2 linked regions of the Danio rerio genome follow. The protein of the gene in region 1 purifies or fractionates together with the protein of each later gene. This does not show direct contact. Links are inferred from orthologs where the notes say so. Each region holds a gene or a part of one and is shown on either strand. Other genes may lie near its edges.

Evidence for each region. Proteins that work in one complex are often made in the same cells at the same time.
Region 2: the proteins of emc1 (region 1) and tmed2 purify together in Homo sapiens (affinity purification with mass spectrometry; 3 studies listed by BioGRID and IntAct, with this or other methods). This does not show direct contact. The link is inferred for Danio rerio from reciprocal best matches to the Homo sapiens genes EMC1 and TMED2.

Annotation. Positions count from the first base shown.
Region 1 is NC_133198.1:24,184,902-24,188,309, forward strand, and holds the end of emc1 (ER membrane protein complex subunit 1), read left to right. Parts: intron 1-1,223; coding exon 1,224-1,308; intron 1,309-1,406; coding exon 1,407-1,536; intron 1,537-1,627; coding exon 1,628-1,807; 3' UTR 1,808-2,905; downstream 2,906-3,408. UniProt on the Homo sapiens protein: Part of the endoplasmic reticulum membrane protein complex (EMC) that enables the energy-independent insertion into endoplasmic reticulum membranes of newly synthesized membrane proteins.
Region 2 is NC_133185.1:3,902,826-3,906,888, reverse strand, and holds the start of tmed2 (transmembrane emp24 domain-containing protein 2 precursor), read left to right. Parts: upstream 1-1,260; 5' UTR 1,261-1,383; coding exon 1,384-1,563; intron 1,564-2,458; coding exon 2,459-2,651; intron 2,652-4,063. UniProt on the Homo sapiens protein: Involved in vesicular protein trafficking. Mainly functions in the early secretory pathway but also in post-Golgi membranes.

The DNA.
Region 1 (3,408 bases):
AAACGAAGATTTTTCAGGACCACACTCGAAACCAAGAGGTAGGAAAAAATTTCCAGAATACACTAGCTCCAACTGCACCCGGAAATAAGGAGATCTTTTTTTGTTATTATTATGAATTTTTACAACAAACAAACACATGTTTTAATATATTCATAACTGCGTTCGTGTTTTACAGTCATGCTTTTTTTTTTTTTTTTTTAAAACGCTTAAATAAAAAACGTTAAATTTTGCGATCTATAATCCCTAATAATAACTTCTGCACAGCAGTCCCACAACAGTCTGACACTCAATGACACTCAATGACACTCAATGACACTCAATGACACTGGAATACCCTGTCAGAAAAGTCCAGTGACTGGGAATGTACTTTTTACAGTGTCTGCTATAATGTTAATGTTGTTTTTGATGTGTTTACATTAATGAATATGGCCACGGTGTAAATGCACAGTACTGTTACGATCTTATTGCCACATTAGATCATTATGATAACATAATACATGGCTTCAGTGATTTCCTGAAGATAAATACCAAAAAAAAAAAAAAACACAACGGGAATCACTACAGTAGTCGCCATCATCTGAACTCATATGAAGCAAGAGATTGCGAGGACATATGATGACGTGTGCAGGTGATGTAGTGCTGTCCCAATTCTTAGGGGTAAATTTTAAAGCCCTTCCCCTTAACCCTCGGTTGCAAGGACTAAGGGGAAGGGGTAGGGGTACAAAAACAGAATTGGGGTTTGGCCTTACACTTGTGAAATAGAGAAAGGAATTCATCCATGAACTGTGTACTGTAAAGTTCCTGTCAAGCTTTTACAAGGTCCCAGTTCTTTCTACAGTGTTTGTGTGCAGGGCCGAGGGTTTCAGTTTTCCAGGTCTGCATGCAACAAATGGGCGGGGCTTGAGTTCCATATCGACGTCATGCCGACACAGCTAAAGATTCGTTACCCTCGCGATTTATTTGAACCACTCTGAGTTGACTCTTTTATAGAGGAATCAATAGTTTTAAACACGGTGTACTTTCAGGTTTAAGCCTTAGCTGGATATTTCACTTCACTTAACACACACTTCACTTTACACACTGCATGGAAGGTCATTTTTAAAAACTCATTATAGGGGCTCTTTAATCTCATAACATTGTAGTAAGTTTCTTGGGATGTATTTTTATAACTTATGATAATAAATAGCATCTAAATTAAAACAAAGATATTTTTTGCTTTATAGTGGGGCTGCCATCAGGCAACATTTTATCCTTACCAAAGATGTTTTTGGACCCCAGGAGACCAGAGGTGGTCTCAGAACAGAGTCGGTAAGTTTTCAGCTAATGTTTATCATGTTGGAAATCTGAAAAATGTCAAGCATATATTTAGTTTAATTATTTACAAATTGATTCTCTGACCATTTTAGGGAGGAAAATCTTATACCATATGCTCCAGAAATGCCCATTCGTACAGAATGGTTCATTAACTACAACCAAACCGTATCAAGAGTAAGAGGCATCTATACTGCCCCATCTGGCCTGGAGTCAACCTGTTTGGTAGGAGTCACGGACTTCAATTGATCTCTTAACATCCATGCAGTTGTTATCACATGTAGTCACACTAAATAACTTCAATTTCACCTTCTAGGTGGTTGCATACGGCCTTGACATCTACCAGACTAGAGTGTTCCCTTCCAAACAATTTGATGTCCTTAAGGATGACTATGACTATGTCTTAATCAGCAGTGTCCTCCTCGGTCTCTTCTTTGCCACCATGATCAGCAAACGTCTAGCGGAAGTGAAACTGCTCAATAGGGCATGGCGATAAGACTCATCCTGATGGCCTGTTGACTTCACTCTCGCCTTCACTGCAATGTGGTCGACACATTGATGGCAGAAGACCAGCTGGTGACCATGTCAAAACCGCAAGATCATTTGACGAGTTTGGTATCTTTTTGCAACCAGCTGTCTTGGGGATCTTGTGGTGTTTTGAGTGTAAGTGCAAAGATGGCCATGATCGTTTTTTTTTCCCCTTTTCAGAGAGACATAATGATGTAGGTTTAGTTTTTACCCCCCTCAGCATTGAACAATTCACTGTCTAATTTGTTTATTTATTGTGCCTTTCGGGGTAACATTACTAATGTGATTTAAAGGTAGACTGACCAGGTATAACATAATAGCATTGTCGCATTTGATTCACTAAGTCTAGAGTCTGCCTTTCAAAAAGGTTGAAGGATAAATTCATGTATTAAAACTGAGGAGGAAATGCTGCAAAGGAACTGCCATTGTTATTTCAATTTATGAAAAGGTTGATTGATTGATTGATTGATTGATTGATTGATTGATTGATTGATTGATTGATTGATTGATTGATTTTGGGGTTTTAAGTTTAATTATTCAAGTTACTATGTATGAGCTGACCCTAATGAATATATTGGCTCATCTCATGTACAGGATTTGAATGGACAAACATTAATGCACATGAGAAATGTAAAATTTCAAGCTGTCAAAGGTTCTGCGTTTGAAGGAGTTTGGGTAGTTTTATTTGTACTTATTTTATGGTATGTCAAATGCACTGGATGGTTTGGAGCCATTTTCTTACTTGATATTTATGAGCAAGATCCCAATATGCCATATCATACATTTATTTTGACTCATACACGTTACAAATCCCTGTGATTTTATTATTGTGTAAAATGTTTCTACTCATTTGATTTTCATAAATAATGAGCCTGTTTATATACATACTTTTGAAAGTGTCCCCTCTGCTGCAGATTAATGATGTCAGAAGAATAAGTTTATTAATATTTGTAACAAAAGGGTAGGCATTCAGTTAAGTTGGTAACCTGATGATTTTTTAAAACATGCATAAATTATTTGTTCTTTTATCCCTAATCGATAATAAAGAATACACCCTTATTGTTGACCCCTGAATTGTTTAATTCTTTCTGGATGGTAAAGTTATAATCAGTAATCAATAGTAATCAGCAAAACATTTAGTTATAATTGACAACTATGTATGAACTAGAAAAAGTATGTACGAACTACTGCATGTAGCCTATAATCGATCTGATTTTGGACTATTTAAAAGAGACTGTCACCTAAAAATGTCAACTTGGTCATCTTATGTTGTTACAAACCTTTATGACTTCTATGTCATCTGTAAAACAGAACAATGTTGACAACCAATCATTTGCAACTATACCAACTTTTTAATTATTTAAAAGGGCAGTCAAAATGTAAGTTCTCCCTTTGTTTACCCCGATGTTGTCATTGTCCTAAACCTTCATGAGTTAGTTAATGTATGGAGCATACACACAAAGTTTGTTTTTTGAACAGCAGTTTTAATTTGTTGATTCCCAATATGTAGAATTAAAAAAAAAAGTATAATACACACTCTTTGGACAATTTTAAATATGAATATGATAC
Region 2 (4,063 bases), on another chromosome or scaffold:
TGCGTCTATTAATTTGATCTGTTTATAATGCAAATGACAATAAACCAACGTTAATGTAGGCAGATACATTCGCTAAACCGAAGACAAATGTTGGCAGAGCTGTCATGTCACATTCTCAAAACACAGTGTCATGTCTTGTCCCAAATTTAAAACACGACCTGTCAATCACGATCAACGGATATGAAATATGAACATTAAAAAAGGCTTACAGTGCCCTAAAGAGAGTTAATGCACAATTATTCTGACTCTTCCAGACTCAAACATGTCCAGTCTCGCCCTGATGGGTTTAAATCATTAAACTGTCTGCTATTTAAATGAAACACGTTGCTTTCGCACTTCTGACAGTCTAAAACTATCTTAACAAACAATTTCTTGGTTTATCATAAAACTAAGACACTCTGCAGAGACAAGAAATGCTAAATAATAAGTAACAGGAAGAATGTTTGGTTTGTTTTTGCTTGTTTCTCACCTTCGGGATGTCATCGCTCCCTCGCTCCGTTTACTGTAGTTTTACTCACTTTCCGGGTATAAACTCCGTTTAAATCGACAGTGCCGTGTTCAGCGGCTCATACGGCAGCGGGTACCGCTCGGTTTGGGTTCGGACAGACGAACATGAGTGAAAAAATGACAGGAAACGGCAACCGGGAGCGCTAGGCCGCAGCGGCGGAGAGTTTTCTGGAGTCGATTGGAAAAACGTCACCAAAGCTGCGACACACAGAGAGCGACGCTCCGCGCTGACGCGCCCTCCAGAGGGGGACAACAGGAACAACAAATGACAACAATTAACAAAATATTTTTAATATAATAAAAGATTAATCACGATAGTAAAATTTTATCAACTTTGTTGTATTTTAGACGTTGCAACCGACTACAGATGTTTATATACGGATAATAAAATATAACACGGATATGTACAGTCAATATATTTTTCTTTATAAAAGCAGACGTTGTGTATTAATAAATGTAATATACATGCAAGACAATAACTTATAGTGTTCCTGTTGAAGTTCTGATTTAAGGTAATAATTTTTTTCCTAAATATGAAATTAAGCAAGCTCTAATCGTGCACATTTGTGCACATTTTCTACGTTTTCTTTCTTAATTTATACATTTTTTTAATTCATGTGTTTGTTTGTGTGTTTGCTGTGCAATAACCAGTTTAACAGCAGCACTTTGACGTTTCAACACCTCATCTTTTTTTTTTACAAACGCGAACTGCGTCCGGCGTCGTCGCCTTTATGTCCCATCCGGCGGATCGTCTAAATCTTGACGTGGCATCACCAGTAGCGCAGCTAGCGCTTGTCAGTCTCCGCCTTTATCGGCCCAGCGCGGTGTAAACTCTCTTTTATGGGTTTAACTCTCCATTAATTCACCGCACCAAACATGTTTACGTTCTCGGAACTCATCGTTCTCCTTTGCGCGTTGTCCTACACGGCGAGCGGCTATTTTGTGAGCATCGACGCGCACGCGGAGGAGTGTTTCTATGAGCGCGTGAACTCGGGCACGAAGATGAGCCTGATGTTTGAGGTCGCCGAGGGAGGATTTCTGGACATCGACGTCAAGGTGGCCATTAAAATACACTCTCTGTATCATTCCATATCATTTAATAAAACGATTGTTTATAAGCAGCCACTGTAGGATGTTTGCAGGTGTCGCTGTCTGCTTAGCAGATGGTGGATAAAGCCGGAAGTGAATTCCTGTCTGGGAGTGATTATTAATTCTTTAAGTACTCAATTATACATTCGTCTACATATTATTTAGACGAATGTAGGTCAAAGTATGCTATTTTGCATCCCGCAGGTTTTAGTTAAACATAGGAAATAGTCTGGTGTTAAGATTCTTCTTGTACATTTGATTTGTGTGTGGTTCTGTGTACTGATAATATATGAAATTATGTGTATATAGTATATAATATTACACGTATATGAATGATACCGGGTGTTTCCCATGTTTTGTGTTTGTATCTTGGTCTAAAGTGTCAAAGGTGACACCTGCTTTCACAAAGCATACGTCATTTACTAGTCCCTTTATTTCTTAAGGCAGAACGTTAGAATATAACGTTTTAATGTATGTTTTTATTGTGAGTTTTTCAATTTATTTTAATCAAAACAATATTTCTGACATGTACCTGTTAACGGTGAGTTTTACCTGATATACTGGATTGTGGTGAAGTGGTGTTATATTCACACATTCAGACTTTCTCCTCAATATAATTTCAGTAAAGTATTCATTGCCAATTCTAAATGGGTAAATCATATTAGCAGCCTATAACCAATAAAGAACAACATTGTTCAGTCAATGAAATAGTTCTAATGTTGATTTAAAGTCATACCTGCATATAATTTCAGTCGGAATATTCAAAGTAGCATGATAAACAATATAGGGAGTTATCACTGAATGATCGTGCGAATATAAAACCAACTTTACCTCATCATTATGCGCTGCATATCTTTAACAGATAACGGGTCCAGACGGGAAGCAGATCTATAAAGGAGACCGTGAGTCCAGTGGGAAGTATTCTGTAGCCGCTCACATGGACGGAACCTACAAGTTCTGCTTCAGCAATGAGATGTCCACCATGACCCCCAAGATTGTGATGTTCACCATTGACATCGGCGAGGCGCCCAAAGGACAAGACATGGAGACAGAGGGTGAGCAGACACACTGACCGTCATCTACTTTTTTTTTTTTTTCATAGAGTGAATCTGCACTGATGTTATGAAACTTTCCAAAAGTTGGCGAGGGAAGTTTATGGCCTTCTGGTATTTGAATGAGTGTTCAGTAATTAATCTTAAATAGTCAACCCTGACACGTTACCCTTTTACATCCGGTTTTAACATGCGTTTAAGTGTCTATCTGCTAACCACTTGTGTTCAGATTTTGTCGAGACCTTTCACTCTTGTTTCAGCACATTCATTAGAGAGCTCATAATTATTAGCAGCTAAATGTGTCTGTAAAAATATTCAAAGGCTTTTATTCTCATAAACCGCGCGGACGTGAATGCGTCTGACTGTTTTGATTGGCTAAAGCAGACGTCTCACGTCAGCACGTTCTAGAAGTGCACGCGCTCTTTCCAGCAATCTTCCTTCTGCATTCACACAGCGCAGCATTCCGGCAAATTACCGGTAATGTTACAACTTCTCTTTCCGGAAAATAGCCAGAACGAATTTACCGGCATTTTCAAAAAGAGCCTGTTCACACACACACACACACCTTTCCAGGAAAATTGACGGTACTTTTCCGGAAAGGTCTGGGGTCCGTTCTTCATACGTGGATTACTCAGTTAGCTGGATTTGGTTATTGACGATTTGACACGATCCAGGATCGTTTCGTTCTTCAAAGCTGATCCGAGAGTTGTTGTCATAGCAACAGTTCTGCTAGCTCAAACCTGATCGGAAGCAGGTTCAGTTCATATAAACAGGATTAGATCGGCTCAGTTCAAGCAAAGAAAATACAGAAAGTATGTACCGAATTCTGATATTTTCTTACAGTAGTAGTTATATACACTTGAAAAAAGGGTACATATTTTTTAACTATATATATATATATATATATATATATATATATATATATATATATATATATATATATATATATATATATATATATATATATATAAATATATATATATATATATATATAAATATATATATATATATATATATATATAAATATAAAGTTATAGTTATTAATAACATAAATAAAGTTATATATATTAATAAAACGTATGCAATCTGCACTCTCGAAATGAAAGTACAAAGACTGCCACCTGGTGGTGCACAGAGAAAACCTATTGATATGAACTTTTTAGATCGCTTTAGTACAAATTGTGTATAATAGAAATGCACTATATGTGACTTTTTTAAAAAAAAAAAAAGCTATGATAAATTTAATGCATTAATAAACATGTTTTGACAGTTAATATGCCAGTGATTAGGCTTCACAAAAGTTGCAGAAGCCTTTACCAATATGAAAATGCTTTTGTAAACAACCAGTTATTCTTTACACCGATTAAAAAAACGACTACTATAATAAAGAAAATCTTTTCTAAATGTAGAACTAA